Linked DNA regions of Ovis aries. The protein of the gene in region 3 purifies or fractionates together with the protein of the main gene of each other region. This does not show direct contact. Links are inferred from orthologs where the notes say so. Each region holds a gene or a part of one and is shown on either strand. Other genes may lie near its edges.

Region 1 (5,074 bases), on a different chromosome or scaffold from region 3:
GTTATTTCACTAATACCTTTCAGGATAGTTAAACCTGTGTGTGTGTTAGCTGCTCAGTCATGTCTGACTCTCCAGCTCCATGGATTGTAGCCCTCTGTCCATGGAGTTTTCCAGACAAGAATACTGAAGTGGGTTGCCATTACCTTCAGGACCTTCCTCACTCAAGGATCAAACCTGGGTCTCCCGCACCGCAGGCAGATTCTTACCCGTCCTGAGCCACCAGGGAAGCACACCTATACATCCAGCAGCAGGAGTGTCAGGTTCACCTTCTCTCTGAGTCAAGTCACTAAGGATTTTTGTCTTTGTTGGTCTAACATCCATGCTGTCTGAATCAGAACTATATTCTGAAAAACTACCATCTGAGACACTAGTATATATGTCACTTGAACAATCAGAGAAACTATCTGTGTACAATTCACCCAAAAATGCAGTGTCATTTTTGAAAATTTTAACAGTAATAAATGTGCATTTATAATATACAAGGCTGGGGTGGCGGGGGCGGGGGGACCTAACGGAGCAAAATGTGAATGATGTGTGGAGCGTTTTTTTTTTTTTTTAAGTGTGGAGCATTTTAAAAGTCTTTATTGAATTTATTACAATATTGTTTCTGTTTATAGTTTGGTTTTTTGGCCACAAGGCATGTGGGGTCTTAGCTTCCTGACCTGGGATTGAACTCACACCCCTGCATTGGAAGTACAGAGCCCTACCTCTGGGTCACCAGGGAAGTCCCATCCCTTGATTAGCTTTAAGATCTAGCAACTGCGGATGGTGATGTTAATTGCATCCTTCTCTGAAAACGTATTTATATGTCTCCAGCCAATAGTGTGTAACATGTAAGGCCTATGTGCAGCTGGATGAGGAGAACACAGCCTTCTTTAAGCAAGTAACTCTCAGGTACAAGGTCTGACAGCCTTCAGGGGTCAGGCACCGATCTCCCCCACTCGTGGTCAGGTGACAGGACTCCTTTCTCTACCTTCCTTACCCTTTTCTCATCCTCCGAACAGAAAGGGTAGAGCACACACTTTGTACAAGCCATCTCGACATCACCACAATTCTAGAGCCCAGCCTGTCATCTGTAAAGGCACTTTCACGTTATCAACACTCCCACCAAGTTAAAGTAACATTCTCTCATCAACTCAGGGTTTTCCAGATTACCTCTTGGACTTGAAAGAAGGAATTTCCTAGAATGAACAGTAAAAGGCTAAAAGAAGCAGGAATTTTACAGACCAAATAAAAATGTTACATTAACTAAAAATGGAAAAAGATTAGTGATACTCTTAGGTCAGTCAGGGGTACCAGCTGTTCCCCTGGCCCGCCTAGTTTTAACTGAAGAGAAACAAATTTGTGCCCATGTGTCACAGGTAACAAAAAAGCTCAGTAAAACTTTCCTTTTTATTCCCATCAATATCGTCATTTTTCCCTTGCTCCTTAGTCCCTCTTATCTAGCACTCTGACCATCGCTAGGGAAGAGAAGTCCTCCTTCACTGAATCACCTCACCCTCTAAGTACGAAAAAGTGGAAGTTGGCAAACAGCAGATGGGCAGACAGATACAAGGCATGCCCTCCCAGCCCCATAAAGCGTCCTCAAAATACAGCTTGGCCGAGAAGCCTTCATGTAAGAAAGACATTCTCCTTTCAGTCAACTGCCTTCAGTCCTAAGAGCCAGGTGCATAAGATCCCACAGAAAACAGATTCCGGTCATTGTGGAATAGGAGACTCACCCAGAGACAGACACGCACACCCCTCACACCTACATACACACTCCTTTCACCCCCAGCACCAAACACCAGTGACTATGAAGACCAAACATCTACTCTGAAGAGGCCTGCACGTGCTGGGTCTGGACCAGCACGGTTGACTGTGGCCATGCAGACATTCTGGGTCTGTGCTGTGCGGCACTGTAACGAGCACTTGCAGTGTGGATGTGGGAATGGGGGACTGGGCACCTCAGTGGCCTAGGTGGTGACTGGCTACCTGCTGCCTGCCGTGGCTGTGAGAATGCTGCCAGAGCGCTATGTGGAAAGTGGCGGCTGTCACAGGGTTCTGCCCAGCCAGGCAGGGCAGCACCAGGAAGAGCCAGGACCGAGCGAGCACGAGTGGGTTCACAGTGACACACGTCCCCAGTGACGCTGCCAAACATGTCCTCTCGAAACAGGTGCAGCTGCAGGGCTTGCACCCTGGGAACTGGCAGCCGGTCTGCTCAGGGTCCATCAGTGCACTCGGGGCAGTCTGACTTCAGACATGTTCTAAGGGGGAAGGACAAGAAAAACTGGAGCCTGTTCTTTAAAACTTTTACTAAACAAGCCAAAAAGAACATTTGTCCCCCAGTCTTTAGGAGGGAGTAGGCAAGAGCAGGAAGCAGGCGTTGCAACGCACGAGACAGCTTTTATTTCCCACAGCTTTGGGAAGGGGCAGGAACAAGCTCCCTGTGAGCAGCTGCAACCGACAACCTCTCAGGAGAACTGCACGTCGGCCTTCCAGGCTAAGGCTAATCCTCTGAAACAGGTCAACAAACTGCAGCTCATGGGCCAAACCAAGCCCATCAGCTACTTAACTAGAACAGAGCCACATCGTTACCTTACGCCTCGTCTCTGGGTGCTCTCACACTGCAACAGCAGAGATGAGTAGAGAAGGGCCCACAAAACCTAAATGATTTACTGTCCAGACTTTACAGAAAGTGCCAACCCCTGTTTTAGAGAGATGAGAGACCGCTGGTGACAGACGCCACATCAGGAACACGTCGGAACAGAGACATGGAAGGACTTTTCCTCAAGGGCCTGGGTGGCGACTTGTTCCGGGCGCAGAACCCCAGTGCGGCTGCCCTCGGGGCCGGGTGGGCACAGGGAAGGTGCCCAGGCTCACAGTGAGCCGCAGACTTACTGTCCCCCAGGATCAGTTCCACCTCCTCATCCGCGTCTGAGTCTTCGTCCTCCGCGTCCTCCCCCTCCTCCAGGAGGTTTGCCAGCTCCTCGTCCGAGGGCGAGAAGTCGTTGTCCCCGTCCTCCCCTGCGTTCTCGTTGGTGTCGTCCTCCTCGAGCTCTGCCTCCAGCAGCTGATCCGTGTCCAGCTCGTCCAGGTCGTCAGTGTCGTCGTCGTCTTCGTCGTCATCTTCTTCCTCCTGCTCTTCCTCTTCCTGGTAAGAAAGCATGAGGTCCGTTAGCCAAGACACCAAGACCCGGGCCACCTTGGCCACACAGGGAGCCTCTCCCCGGCTCCCCAGAGGAGCGGCGGGAACAAGCAGCAGAGCACACGGTGATCCAGGTTTCAGCACAGACTTCACGGGCCAGCGTGACTCGTCAGTGACGGCTGAGACAGGCGCGCACGCGTCCCCCAAGGCGCCAAGCGCTCCCTCAGACAAGGACTGCTGGCCACCCACCAAGGCAGTACTCGGCACGCAGCCCTTCTCCAAGGAAATGGGTAACACTCCACAGAAGTCTCTGCCATCGATTCTAGGTTGCTAACTAATAACAAACCCAAAGAGGCTCTTCTCTCTCTCTTGCATCAACCAAATCAAATGAAATCAGCTGAGGTACTGGAATAAAAGCTTCGACCTGGTATCTAAAAAGCAATGCTTAATCAAACAAGACAAATAACAGCTGTGGCACTGGCTCCTAAGCCCTTTCCATCCTTGTCCTCGATCTTCTAATCACAGATAAAGCGTGGGTAAACCTCTGACACCGCATCACAAGCATCCCATGATCTGAATATCCAACAAAATAGACTTTTACTATGTATATAACACTAAGACTGTATTTTCTGTTACAAGCCACATATTAACCCCCAGTATGCGAGAGAAACCGTCCATACTTCGTTCTTAAGAGATCTTCCCAAAGGTAAGCAGATACCAGAAGACTAATGAAGTGCTTGGCCCTGGGGCCCTGGGCTTTGGAAATGATACACTTTGGCATCTGCCGCATTTCAGTTTTGCACCAAAATCCAAACCGTTTCCCTTCAACCAAGAGAGGACACAAAGACACCTCTGCTTTCTGAGGGATGGCAGCTGTTCCCAACATTCAATCACTAATCCTGCTGCTCAAACATCAACTGTGAGCATTGCCAGCAGCGACAGGATCCTAATTCCTGCAGTAATAAAATACAAGATTCACGGAACCAGAGCCTAACAAAAGTCACGACAGAACAACCCATCCACAGCAGAAGAAGTATTTTTTAAACATGTTTGAAAGTTCTGCTTCATGCCAATCACTTAAAAACCAAGTACACAACTCATCCAGCCACTGGTGCTCATCAGCGGTCGTGCGAACCAGGCTCCCATCAGCACAGCAGCTCTGCTCTATGAACCTTTGATAACTGGAGCCACCATTTAGACTTTTTGATTTGCTGTTTGGCCACTGATTGAGACTTTTCAACAATTTCTGGCAGCTATATGGGAAAAACGTTAAATACCCAGTATTCCTGATACCTGTACAAGTACATTCCATACCAGAATTTGTGTGTGTGTGTGAACAGAACCCAGGACGACCTGCAACCCTTGCTGAACAGCCTCACCATACATCACCTACATGTGAACAGCTACTGAGCATTTATCCACTGGAAATGAACTGAAAGTACTTGGAGGCATTAAAAATAAACTGACGCACGGACAAGCTCCTGGCCCCAAGTACATCAGCTCATACAAATAACTGCGAAAGGAGAGAAGGGTCAAAATTCAGGGAACTAATTCACAGTGTTCACCAGATTACAAACTCTCGCACCTCTTTTTCCAGGCATGTTTTCAGGGCCGTGGCCAAAATTAGTTCCAATTCATCAGTAAAGTACCACAGTTAAAAACAAGTACATTAAAAAAGAGTATCCAGGGCCCTGCTTCTTAGGCTCTGGAATAGAAGATATGCATGCTATTCCGCATCCAGATGGTACTACTTTCGATTCAGAAGTGAACACGTAGTGAATGATACACACGCTCATCCCTGTATTCAGAGTACATGACAGGAAAAGACGCCTAGGCTTTGGGCTCCAACAAGCAAGGGTTAGAATCCTGGCTCTGCCAATTATGTGTTGTATGAACTTGGGCAATTTATATAAACTTTAAGTGTTTCAGGACGGCATAACTTTTAAA
Region 2 (6,182 bases), on a different chromosome or scaffold from region 3:
TCTGTTTCTACTAGCAATATTCCCCAATCCCTTCCTTTAGAGAGAACGGGGCCTCTGCCACCAGGGAAGCTTCTCCCTTGGAGAACGGTCTCGAGTGATGTCTCAGTGAGTATGGGGCTTGGTGGAGAGATTCCAGGGGCCAGATAAGTCTAAACTTTCTTAAACCTTAAAAGGATGAGTGTTAAAGGATTCTCAAGGATATTAAAGTTAGGTTATGTGGGGTTGAGGCTTTGAGAATGAGCAAAGTGGAAAAGTATAGCAATTGAGAGGATGATAGAATGAATCAAAGACAAAGGCTTATACCCAAAGCCGGGAAGAATGCCCCTGTACTCACATCCAGCTGTGTTAGGATGCTACTAACTGGGACAAGGAGCCATCCTGAGCTCCTCTTACCCTCACTTTCTTTCTGCTTCCCCAGCTTCTTGCCCAACGATCTGGGCTTCACCGATACCTACTCTCAGAAAGCTTTCTGTGGCATCTACAGCAAAGATGGTCAAATCTTCATGTCTGCCTGTCAAGGTACCATACCCTAGTCCTACCAGCTGCCTTAGAACGAGAGATGTTCCCTCTGACTGATGCTAGAAAGCCCCAGATCCAGGGAGCTCAGACCCTGGCTTAAGGATGCTTAGCTAGAACACATGTTTTGTCCCATGATCAAGGGAAGATTCCACAGATCAGTGGTGAGCGAGAGAGGTCTGACCTAGGGAGGATTCCAGGAGGCTGTTTTCTAATTCTGCCTGATCGCCACTCACACAGACCAGACAATCCGACTATATGACTGCCGGTATGGCCGCTTTCGTAAATTCAAGAGCATCAAAGCCCGAGATGTCGGCTGGAGCGTCTTGGATGTGGCCTTCACCCCTGATGGGAACCATTTCCTTTACTCCAGCTGGTCCGATTACAGTGAGTGTGCCCCAGACCTCCATGGTCTCTCCAGCTGGGGACCTGAGGTCTCCAAACACCCATCTCCTCCGTGCCATGACTCCATGCCTTTTCCTGGACAAATTACTCCCCAGGTCCAACTTCCTTCCCATTTGTTCTATCTCTTCCCTGGCTCTACCCTCCTTACCTCAGCCCTGAAAGATTCTTGTTTCTCTTGCTTCTCTTAGTTCATATCTGCAACATCTACGGGGAGGGAGACACACACACTGCCCTGGATCTAAGGTACTGGCTTCCCTTACTGGTCAGACTCATCAGAAACTACTCAAGAAAGGCTCTCTAGGAGCATACCTCTTGAACTGGAACTCCCACTTAGAGGGGAAAGTACACTGGTTGCAAGTTTCTCTGTGTGGACTTCTGGGAGGGAACCACCCAGCCTGTCAGCCAGAGGACCAGGATAAATAGATGGCTGCAGGATTCTTCTTGGTTCCTCACTGAGGTGCCCCACATTCTGGCATGTGTGCTGGCGGGATTTCTTTTCCCCTCAGCAGTGTGCCTCACGGCCCTTGTCACATTCTGTGGATTAACCCGGGCTAAAGGGAAGTTCACTTAATGCAGCTCCTCCTTGTCTCTTTTCAGGCCAGATGAACGTCGCTTCGCTGTATTCTCCATCGCTGTCTCCTCAGATGGACGAGAAGTGCTAGGAGGGTAAGTGTTTGTGGGGATGCCCCCAGAACTTAATGAGATAGAAATTCTCCCAGAAACGGGCTCTACCATTACAGAGACTATAGTAGATACCCGTACCCAGGCAGCTGTGGAGAACAACCAGGACTTCTCCAGGGCCAAGATTTATGTGTGGCTTCACTTCTCAAGCACCATTTCTCCAGCACGAGATGGGAGGTCACAGCTAACTCTTCTCCCACCTCCTGTATAAGAAGACACAAGGGCTTGCCCCTTAGCGGGACTTCGAGACACAGTGTCTCCAGAGCACACGTAGCATGGGTCCTCTCGATTCTGGCTCCAAAGCCCTCTTTATCGCCTCCCCTTCAGGGCCAATGATGGCTGCCTGTACGTCTTTGATCGAGAACAGAACCGGCGGACCCTTCAGGTATTGCTCCCGAGATTTCAAGCCCCCGCCTCCTGGTCCTTGGCTTGTTGGAAGACCTAGAAAGAGGTTGTAAACATTCTGGCCCCTTTCTCCCCTAGATTGAGTCCCATGAGGATGATGTGAATGCGGTGGCCTTTGCTGATGTCAGCTCCCAAATCCTGTTCTCTGGGGGTGACGATGCCATCTGCAAAGTGTGGGATCGACGCACCATGAGAGAAGATGACCCCAAGCCTGTGGGCGCACTTGCCGGACATCAGGACGGCATCACTTTCATTGACAGTAAGGTGGGTGCAGAGGCAGGACCGCACAGCCAGGCGACTGAGTTGTGCTATCAAAGCAAACAGGTGTGGCAACTCTCCAAGCTCCACCTTTAGCCACGGTTTGCAAGATCAGCACCATCCACAAGGAGCGGGGCTTTCTGTACAAGAAAAGTAGAAGACAGTCTGATCCAAGGTAGAACAGGAGCCAGTCAGTGTGCTGGACAAAGAAGGGGAAGCCTAGCCAGGGTGTGTGGCCCGTGGTAGGAAACCAATGGCGAGGCCCACCTGGGTGAAGAGAGAGGAGACCAAAGAGCAGCCTGCGTTCATACCGCTCAACTGAGAGGGGGGGCTCTGATCCTCCTTATCCATCCTGGATTCACAGGGTGATGCCCGATATCTCATCTCCAACTCCAAAGACCAGACCATCAAGCTCTGGGATATCCGACGTTTTTCTAGCCGGGAAGGCATGGAAGCCTCTCGCCAGGCTGCCACACAGCAAAACTGGGACTACCGCTGGCAGCAGGTGCCCAAAAAAGGTGAGAGCAGAAGCGGGACCTGAGGTCTGGAGAGTGAAGAGTCAGGAGTGCTAGTTAAAGTATTTAACCTGTGGTAAGGCCCAGTGTGGGCATGGTGGATGAAGCTGGGACCCCTCTCCTGACGCCCCCTTGCCAGGCATTAACTCTTTGTTTGCTGAACCGTGGGAAAGTCAGGAGTTACCAATGTGGGAACTGGGGATCACTCACTCCAAGCCAATGGATACAAAAGTACTGCAGCATCTTGACAATCAGCAGAGCCATACTGGCGTATATCACCTGACTGTTTGGTGGGGAAAGAGACACCAGTTGGGGATTGGAAAGAGGACTGTCTATGAGCATCATTGTTTGCTGAGGACTGGTGATACAGGAGAATCCAGACTCCCTAACCCCGGGTTTGCCCTGCATCCCTCCCCAGCCTGGCGGAAGCTGAAGCTCCCAGGGGACAGCTCCTTGATGACCTACCGGGGCCACGGGGTGCTGCACACCCTCATCCGTTGCCGATTCTCCCCCACCCACAGCACCGGCCAGCAGTTCATCTACAGTGGCTGCTCCACTGGCAAAGTGGTCGGTAAGGACTGGGTCAGACCAGGGGGTCTCGGGAAGGGCAGGAATGTTCCCCTGGCATTCTGCCTGTGAGCACCAGTGAGCACCTTAAGAAATCCAGTGAGAACTATAATGAAATTTCATTTAGCCTGATGCAGGGTGGCTTAAACAGAGAAAGAGAAAACATTCTATTCATTAGCATTTTAAATTAAGAAAGGAACACAGAATTCTAGTCAGTAAATATACTAGATCACCAAAAATATACACAGTTCTGTTTTTTAATCAGTCAGGGAAGAGATTACAGATGAAAGGTAGGAGGGAACAGAGACAGAAAGAATGACACAAAAAGCAGCAAGTCGTAAAAGATGTACAGCCACTGAAGCAGGAGGAATGCATGAAAAGAAACAGACACAGATGGATGGAGCCTAAGACAGAGCCTAAGATAGACCTAGGGAGGTGCTGAGATGAAGGCCCATCCAGGGAGAGAGGAAGGCACACCCGAGTCCAGAAGAGGAGCAGCAGGTTTACAAGTCTATGGAGACAGGCCCATGTTCACCTTTGTGGTGTCTCCCATATCTTGTGAGCTTTCCAAAAAATGGCTGCTTTAAAGCCACATTTCATTTTCTTAACTGTTGACCCTGTAACATTTAGCTAAGGGCCAGAGATACCCAGGCTCTGCTAGATCATACTCTCAACCTGAGGTAGGGAAAAGAAACTAACAGCATCCCCAGATGTGGGCTTTGTTCCTCTGGGAAGGTGGGAGGTTGCCTGAGAGGCAGGGAGAGATGAGGGATGGCTGGAAGGTCTTCTGGCTGCCCTTCTCCACTCTGGCCTTCCCCGGACAGTGTACGACCTCCTCAGTGGCCACATCGTGAAGAAGCTGACCAGCCACAAGGCCTGTGTGCGTGACGTCAGCTGGCACCCCTTTGAGGAGAAGATTGTCAGCAGTTCGGTGAGGATGCTAGAGTGAGGGTGGCCAGCGTGTGTCTGGGACCGAGTGAGGGCAGCGTCCCCTGACTGCTTGCCATCTTCTACCCTGCAGTGGGACGGGAATCTGCGTCTGTGGCAGTACCGCCAGGCTGAGTACTTCCAGGATGACATGCCAGAGTCGGAGGAGCACCCCAGCACCCCTGCCCCAATGTCCCACCCCTCTACAGCCTTTTCCTCGCCCCAGTAGATCTGACCTCCAGGCCCAGTCATGGGTGAGCCTCTTCACCAGCTCTCCACCTTCTCCTTCTTTTCTCCCCTATGGGGGATCTTTGGGGACTCACTGGCACTGGCTGGGGAGAAACAGAATCCCAGGCTTTGGGCCCCTAGCTGGCCCCTGGGAGAGCCTCCCCTCGGGGTAGTGTGGTCCTCTCACATGCTCACACTCAATCATCTTGGACCTCTGTCTCTGGCTGGGGTTTGGCAGGACTGCCATTATCTGATCAGCAGAACTGTCCTGAGTGTTTTTAATCATGTTTGGATGTTAAGTGTTAGCTCCTAGAGTAGATGCCTGGGGCCAGGTCTGAACTGTGCCATCAGCAAGGCCCATTGCCCAGGCCTTCACATTGAGGATTAGTTAGACTGGTCAGTCAGAGGGCCAGGAGCGCTGGCCTTTGTTCCAGAGGTCCTAACGGCTAGAGCTCTAGCCCCTCAGGGAGAGGGGGATGGATAAGCACCCTCCCACGGCAGGAATTATGTCTTCTCTCTCATGCGTCTGGGTCTTTGGGGTGGGCAGGCTATGGTGTGAGAGGCTCTGTGTGGCCCCACACAGGGCAGGTCCTCCCCCTCCCAGAATGTTCCATCATGCCAGAGGCCAGCAGCTTCAAGGAGGGATGTTGAAGTAGGACTCCTTTGTCCTATCACTGGCTTTGGCTCCCTCAATAAACTGTGGGAACCTGGCTCAGCATCTGTCTGTCTCTCTCTTTATCCTGTTGCAAATCTTTCATCCTCTCACTTTAAGAAAATGGTTTCAACAAAGCTTTCAGATATGCTCCTCTGTTAGAGAAATCACTGCTATGATGCCAGAAGATGAAAGGGAATACCAAAATCATTTGTTAACTGAGCTTTGCAACAGGGAGTCCCTCACCAACCTCAGAAACTTCTCAGCAAATGGAAATTGAGATAATAGGAAGTAAACACGTTTTGGGCTTCCCTGGTGGCTCAGATGGTAAAGCGTCTGCCTGCAATATGGGAGACCTGGGTTCGATTCCTGGGTCGGGAAGATCCCCTGGAGAAGGAAATGGCAATCCACTCCAGCACTCTTGCCTGGAAAATCCCATGGACGGAGAAGCCTGATAGGCTACAGTCCATGGGGTCGCAAAGAGTCGGACACGACTGAGCGACTTCACTTTCACTTTCACTTTCAAACACGGTTTAGATGAGAACCCGGAACACCCACATCAGCTCTGCCCTGGAGCTGGTCCAGTCTATGGAGAGAAGTAGCCCAGAGCCAGAGATCACCTGGTGGGCACTGATGGCAGGCCCCATCTAGGCACTTCACACAGCACCCTTTTTTCCAGGTGAGGAAATGGAGGCATACAGTGGTCAGCCACCATGCCTCAGGGCAGACCCATGGTGTGGACAATAGGGGAGCAGCTTGGCCTCACCTTCCCCATTATCTCTAAGGCAGTTCTGGAACCAGAATGCATACCTAAGGGGTCTTAGAGACACAGCAAGGGATTAAGAGATGTACGTGTTCAACAGCAAAACACTTTTAAAAGAATAAATTGTCCAGATGCTTGGCCTCCAGGTGATCTCTTTCCTCCAGTTGACCCACCTGCATGAAACCATCACATGGATCTCTACTGGTCCTTTCATCTCCCCTCTGCCTCTTCGCCCAGAAGGGACTCCCTGTTGCAAAGCTTAGTT
Region 3 (6,937 bases):
AGAGAGATAACTAGGCAGATCATAGGGATTTTTTAGGGCAAGGATATTATGTATATATTATACATAATAATTATAGATATGTCATTATACGGTTTTCCAAACCCAATGAATGTATGCCACCAAGAGTCAACCCTTAGGTAAAATTTTGACCATGCTGCACAGCATGTAGGATCTTAGCTTCCCAACCAGGGATGGATCTCATGCTCCCTGCAGCGGGAGCATGGAGTCTCAAACACTGGACCACCAGGGAAGTCCCTAGACTGATGTTAATAATGGAGATTATGCACGTGTAGGCTCAGGGCCTATATGGCAAATTTCTATACCTTCTTCTCAATTTTATTGTAAACCTAAAACTGTTCTAAAAATATAGTCTTTAAAACATTGAACAAATAAAGACCTGGCACATGATAAAATATATGTTGACTCATTTCTCATTCTTTCCTCATATTTCTCTTTTTCCTTTCCTTTTTAAATATTAATAGATATGGTTAGATCGAATAATTATTTGGTTCCTCCAAACTTTGGACGGTTTTTTATGCCTTTGATTCCTTCTCACTTTCAGGTACCAACTCATTTATTCTTCTTTCTCCTCCCCTGCCTCTTCTTCCTCATTCTTTTTTCATCTCCTTCTCTCTTTTCCCTGTTTACTTAACTCCCCGAGGCCTGTTTTTCCATTTGGAAAAGAGAAACAATAATGAATTGTTTTAAGTATCATTGAATAAGTAAACTATTAGCTCAGTGCCTCACCCGAAAGCTCCAAGACATCATTAACTTTGCTCTGATTTGACCTTCTGCAAGGCCAGTATGAAATATAGAACACAATAGAAATGTTCGGAGAAGGCAACAGCACCCCACTCCAGTACTCTCGCCTGGAAAATCCCATGGATGGAGGAGCCTGGTAGGCTGCAGTCCATGGGATCGCTAGGAGTCGGACACGACTGAGCGACTTCACTTTTACTTTTCACTTTCATGCATTGGAGAAAGAAATGGCAACCCACTCCAGTGTTCTTGCCTGGAGAATCCCAGGAACAGGGGAGCCTGGTGGGCTGCTGTCTCTGGGGTCGCACAGAGTCGGACACGACTGAGGCGACTTAGCAGCAGCATAGAAACGTTACTTGTTTATTTTTTTTCACCCAAAGTATCATGGTGAATTGGAAAGATTTGAAAACACATGGGTTCCACGTAAAGTCGATTTTTATTAGCCTCAGTTTTTCTAAGCTGTACAGTAAGAGTAACAATATATGCCTTCCCTCCTCTTAGGTTTTTTTTTTTTTTCCCTTCCCCAGCAAGTAAAAGAGTCAATATTACAGAAAAGCATCGCTGTATAAACACATGTAATCATGATAAGATGGTGTCCTGGAGTCACAATGGGGACTCTGTTAAAAGGATTCAGTGGGATGCAGTTTTAATTTTAAAAGATGTCTGATCAATAGTTCAATTTGTTCAATTCAATAGTTAAATTCAATTTGTTGTTTAGTTGCTAAGACTCTTTTGCGACCCCATGGACTAGAGTCTGTCAGGCTCCTCTGTCCATGGGATTTCCTAGGCAAGAATACTGGAGTGGGTTGCCATTTCCTTCTCCAGGGGATCTTCCCAACCAAGGGATCAAACCGGAGTCTCCTGCATTGCAAGGTAGATTCTTTACCATTGAGCCACCAGGGAATATTCACTACATGGCAGTTATTACTATCTCCTTTATTGTTTTCACTTTTTTCTCTTGCTCCTCCAAAAAAATGAGTGGTTGCTATACCCAGGTGATCTCTGCTACTGGACCTCTACTACTGATGTCGTCATCTTCTCTTCTCTTCATCCTACCTTCCTTTTTCCTTTCTGACCCTCTCTTCCGATCACAACTTTCCTCTCACCTCAACCACCCCATGAAGCCAGAAGTCGAGCTATTAGGCTGCTGCTGCTGCTAAGTCACTTCAGTCGTGTCCGACTCTGTGCAATCCCATCGACGGCAGCCCACCAGGCTCCCCCGTCCCTGGGATTCTCCAGGCAAGAACACTGGAGTGGGTTGCCATTTCCTTCTCCAATGCATGAAAGTGAAAAGTGAAAGTGAAGTCGCTCAGTCGTGTCCGACCCTTAGCGACCCCATGGATTGCAGCCCACCAGTCTCCTCCGTCCATGGGATTCTCCAGGCAAGACTACAGGAGTGGGTTGCCATTTCCTTCTCCGAGCTATTAGGCAGGCAGCTTAGATCTAACTCTGAACAAGCCCGGACCTGCCGGAGACTAGGAGCCCCCCGTCATTTAGCGTCTAGCACCCGACCAACAATAAAGTTTTATTAAAACAGAGCAGGAAAAAAAGCCGCCCATCAGCCTTTCCTCAACAGCCAATCAGAGAGCAGAATGCCTGCGTCGCTCTCGGGAGCTTCACAGTCAGAGGCGAGGGCGGGGCATGTCGCGCCCGAAATCCTCCCCATAAGAGCGGAAGTACGGCCGGAAGCCAGCCATAGAGTTTAGGGGCTAGAGTGACCCTGCAGGGAGGTGGCAGGAAAAGCTGAGAACAGCTGCCGGAGGTGACGGAGCGGTGGCCCCGCCCGGTGCGCTGGAAGACGGAGCTTCCAGGTAGCGGGCCGCAGAGTCTGACCCAGAGTACGACGGGGTGGCCGGCGGGAGCCCACGGTCCCTCGGCGGCCTCTTTAAGGGAGGGGGCGGAGCCACGTGAAAGGATCGCTAGGGTGAGGTCACGTGGTGTGGGGCACCTGCGGGGCACAGTGGATATTTGGGGGAGCGTCGTCTTTGGGGTGAACACTATGTGACATCCCTTTCCCCACTGAGACTTGTGCTTTGGAGTTCCATGGGGTGCACGTGGTGGGATTTGGGGATAGGTTCAGACATGGGGGAGGTGGGCGTGACAACGCTGTATCAGCCAGGGTGCCATCGAAGTGGCTGATCTTAGGATTCCTAAGATACAAGGGTTACACTATGGTTACAAAGTGGCTCAGTGCTTCTGCAATCCAGCCCGTAGGCCTTGTGATTTCCAGCTTCCCCAGTTCAGAAACCTCCAGCTTCCCATCCTCTTTCCTTGCAGCTGCAGACTTCCTGAGCCCAGGTCCCCCCAGCTCAGCGCCAACATGAGTGCGGAGGTCAAGGTGACGGGGCAGAACCAGGAGCAGTTTCTGCTCCTGGCCAAGTCGGCCAAGGGGGCAGCGCTGGCCACACTCATCCACCAGGTGCTGGAGGCCCCTGGTGTCTACGTGTTTGGGGAACTGCTGGATATGCCTAATGTTAGAGAGGTGGGTTCCTGACCTGGATAGCTTCCAAGGAGGCTTGGGGCTAAAGACTAAGAATGGGTGGACAGGGCTCATTTTCAACCCGATAACCATTCAGCTGAATAAGAGCTTGTGATTCAGAATAGGAGACCTGATTCTAGCCTGTCTCCATCAATGTCATGGCTCTTAATCATATTACCTTGATTGTAGTATGTGTTATTTGCTCAGTGGTATCTGACTCATTGTGACCCCATGGACTGTAGCCCACCAGGCTCCTCTGTCCATGGTATTCTCCAGGTAAGGATACTGGCATAGGTTGCCATTTCCTACTCCAGGGGATCTTCCCCAGGAAGGGATCAAACCCGGGTCTCCTGCATTGCAGGCAGATTTTTTTTACTGTCTGAGCCACCAGGGAAGCCTGTTACCTTATCAGGTCACTTTTATTTTAGGACCTACATTTTCTTTTTAAAAACTGGACACGGGGGCTTCCCTGGTAGTCCGGTGGTTAAGACTCCACCTTCCAGTGCAGGCGGTGGAGGTTTGATCCCAGGTGGGGAAACTAAGATCCCACATGCCACATGGTATGGCCACAAAAACAAAACAAAATGGACCTGTTACTGCCCCTCAGTGTCGTAAAAATCAGGTGAGATTATGTGAAAGTGTAAAGTCTGGTACAAATAGAAGGAATGAATGTGAAATTGTCATGACCGGTAAATTCGCTTAAGTTAGCTAAGGTAGAAGTTATCTTTTTCTTCAAGACGCACAATAATATGCTAGGAACACAGGGGAGAGAACTGTTCCCACAGAAGTGATAGAATTAAGAGTTTGAAGTCCAGAGTGAGTAGATTACCAAGATGTATGGCACTAGCCAAAGTTCTGAGATACTCTGACAGTGGTAGGTGGGTGAACTCTGAGTAAATTTTTTGAGGGCCAGTGATTGAGTCAATGCAGTTAACCTTTTGGGATCCTTCTTGTCCAAAGAAAACTGGCTGCCTTCTTTCCCTGCTTTCCTCTGCAGTGGAATCAAAGAGAATCAAGGGGAAGGAAAAGAGGTAGGTTTGGGGTGCCTGTTTAGCATTCTTCTAGTCATCTGGAAATACCAGAAGAGTACAAACCACGGGGCTCCCCTTTTGAAACATACATTCCAGTTGTGCAGATAAGATGAATGGATATCCATGTATAAATCACTTATTTAGCAAGTATTTATCAGCAAAGCCAAGTACATGCACATTTTCTGCTAGATCTGAGTGGGATAGCAGGAACTAGGCTGTAATCTTGTTGAAAAGAAAGACCTTGTTAGGTAACAGCATCAGGTGGGCTTTGATGGACTAAGTGGGTGATCAGTGGTAGGAGGAGAGGAGGCCTGGGTGGACTGGCTTGAGTGATTCATGCTCCCAGCTGAGGCCAGTGTGAGGCAGAGGCACCTCCCAATGCCGGCCCAGATCCTGCAGCTGTCCAGGGAGTGAGGCCAAGGCAGAAGTCCTTGGTGAATTGGCGAGTACAGCAGACTCCCTAAAGGTATTCAAATTCAGAAATACTAGATATACTCTAAGGATGAAACAACACAGTTTGTAATGTCCGGGGGGTGTGCGTGTGTGTGAAATGTGTTAGATAACTAAACACTACGAAAGTTTTTGACTTTAGGGTAGGAATTGGGAGGCAGATGGAGGAAGAGGGTGTTGTGGGTCTGGGGGACAGACTCCGCAAAGGCCTGGAGGTGAAAATGAGGCTTCCTTGGGGAGAGCAATCCGAGACGCAGAGAATTCCTTTCGATGAGCTGGGAGAGCTAATGTTGGAGGGGAGAGCTGGGCCTGGAGATTGGAGTTCAAACAGGCAGGGTCTGGAGGGTGGAGAGAGAGGCCCTTCCTGTCATCGCTTCTCTTCCCTCGTGTTTCCGCAGCTGGCTGAGAGCGACTTCGCTTCCACGTTCCGGCTGCTCACAGTGTTTGCTTACGGGACGTATGCTGACTACTTAGGTAACCGGAGGGGTTGGAGCTCTGAAGACTGGAGGTGGGAGAAGGGCAATTTACAGAGGGACTTATAAGACATTCCTGGGGTACCTGACTTAGATCCCTTGGGTCAGGGTCAGAGTCAAGACCTGAATTGGCATGGAAAACTAAAAAAGAAAAAAGGAGGCTAGGACTTCCCACAAAAGTGCAAATCAGGATTTCCTACACTTTATTTTTTTCTAGCCGAAGCCCGGAATCTTCCCCCACTCACAGAGGCTCAAAAGAATAAGCTTCGACACCTATCGGTCGTCACCTTGGCTGCCAAAGTCAAGGTGAGTGACAGTCCCTACCGGGTCCTGAGTCACAGAACACCTTTCTGTATGTCCCTTCTCGAGGGTCCATCGGAAGGGAACGGTCACCGTGTTGCTTCTTCTTGCCCCCCTCAACGATCCTCCAGGTCCCACATCTGAACTCCATTACCTTCGGCCTTTGGGGCTGAATATGATTCTGGAAGTTTTCTCTTTTGCTTTTCGACCAACTCAGGTTCTAAGTAAAACACCTTTTGCGTTTGGATTCAGGATAGCAACACGGATGCTGCTGGCTGTGTCCTTCAACAGCCCCCTCCTCCCCTAAGATCCTGCAAGCTGTACCATGTGACCAAAAAGAAAGAAGTCTATAACCCAGAAGTGTTACACATTTGTATTCACTGTTGGGTCCTGTTTTTTGACTATCCCCCCTCCCATCTGCATCTCCCAGTTGTTACCTCACTCTCCTCCGTCATGCTTACGGTTTTACTTAAATCAGGCTGTCTCCTGTGAGATGCCTCTTTGGAAGTAGATGGAGGAGCTCCAGACCTCCCCCACACCATATCCTCCCGTGATGTCAGGCGGGTTCTTTACCACTAGTGCCACCTGGGAAGTCCAAGAGGGTGTATGTCTTTTATTTAAGATTCTTACCGTGTTATTTCTCAGGTGGGAATACTTGTTATTTATGTTACCTTAGAACCAGCCTCTTAGAGGAGGTGATCAGGAGTAGGAGTGGAGGGTGGGCAGGGGGGTGGAGAGAAGGGGATCTTGGAAGCCGTCTCTGCCACGGTCCCACACAAACCCCACTGCCCTGGGGCCCCAGTGTATCCCCTATGCAGTGCTGCTGGAGGCGCTAGCCCTGCGCAACGTGAGGCAGCTAGAAGACCTGGTCATTGAGGCCGTGTACGCCGACGTGCTACGCGGCTCCCTGGACCAGCGCCACCAGCGGCTGGAGGTCGACTACAGCATTGGGCGGGACATCCAGCGCCAGGACCTCAGCGCCATTGCCCGGACCCTGCAGGAGTGGTGAGACCCCAGAAGGGAGGGGTGCTTTTGGAGAGGGAGGAGGGCTGGGCAGGGCAGAGGATGAGACTTCGGAAGGGAAGGAGGAGGGGTGGGGGCCAGAGGGAGAAGCATGCCTGGAGTACCTGGTGCGGGCGGAAGTGGTAACCTTGAGTGGTAGTCTCCTGGCTAGTGGGTCACCCGTCTCAGGCTGGATGCAGCTCCCCCGATCTGTGACAAGCACTGTCCACAGACCACTGGCCTCCCCCACGTCTGTTTTCTCTGTGTTCTTGTCTGACTTCAGTTTGTTAACGTGCCTTCCTTTTTTCCTCTGTAACCTTTCCCACCCTGTTTCTGTTTTAGCTCCTACTCCTATTTTGGGGGGGCTTCCAAGGCAGGTAAAGAACCTGTCTGCAATATAGGAGACCCAGGTTCAGTCCCTGGATTGGGAAGATCCCCTGGAG

The links.
Region 1: the proteins of COPS7A (region 3) and DCAF1 purify together in Homo sapiens (affinity purification with mass spectrometry; 4 studies listed by BioGRID and IntAct, with this or other methods). This does not show direct contact. The link is inferred for Ovis aries from reciprocal best matches to the Homo sapiens genes COPS7A and DCAF1.
Region 2: the proteins of COPS7A (region 3) and DCAF11 purify together in Homo sapiens (affinity purification with mass spectrometry; 3 studies listed by BioGRID and IntAct, counting the BioPlex papers as one, with this or other methods). This does not show direct contact. The link is inferred for Ovis aries from reciprocal best matches to the Homo sapiens genes COPS7A and DCAF11.

Annotation. Positions count from the first base shown.
Region 1 is NC_056072.1:49,424,474-49,429,547, reverse strand, and holds the end of DCAF1 (DDB1- and CUL4-associated factor 1), read right to left. Parts: intron 3,134-5,074; coding exon 2,693-3,133; 3' UTR 2,278-2,692; downstream 1-2,277. UniProt on the Homo sapiens protein: Acts both as a substrate recognition component of E3 ubiquitin-protein ligase complexes and as an atypical serine/threonine-protein kinase, playing key roles in various processes such as cell cycle, telomerase regulation and histone modification.
Region 2 is NC_056060.1:20,836,932-20,843,113, reverse strand, and holds part of DCAF11 (DDB1- and CUL4-associated factor 11), read left to right. Parts: intron 1-40; coding exon 41-105; intron 106-418; coding exon 419-519; intron 520-756; coding exon 757-903; intron 904-1,109; coding exon 1,110-1,164; intron 1,165-1,518; coding exon 1,519-1,587; intron 1,588-1,929; coding exon 1,930-1,987; intron 1,988-2,085; coding exon 2,086-2,271; intron 2,272-2,629; coding exon 2,630-2,783; intron 2,784-3,198; coding exon 3,199-3,351; intron 3,352-4,171; coding exon 4,172-4,278; intron 4,279-4,368; coding exon 4,369-4,503; 3' UTR 4,504-4,528; exon of another isoform or gene 4,529-5,212; intron 5,213-6,182. UniProt on the Homo sapiens protein: May function as a substrate receptor for CUL4-DDB1 E3 ubiquitin-protein ligase complex.
Region 3 is NC_056056.1:209,553,674-209,560,610, reverse strand, and holds the start of COPS7A (COP9 signalosome complex subunit 7a), read left to right. Parts: upstream 1-2,454; 5' UTR 2,455-2,570; exon of another isoform or gene 2,571-2,749; intron 2,750-3,036; 5' UTR 3,037-3,079; coding exon 3,080-3,241; intron 3,242-5,117; coding exon 5,118-5,193; intron 5,194-5,409; coding exon 5,410-5,498; intron 5,499-6,294; coding exon 6,295-6,497; intron 6,498-6,937.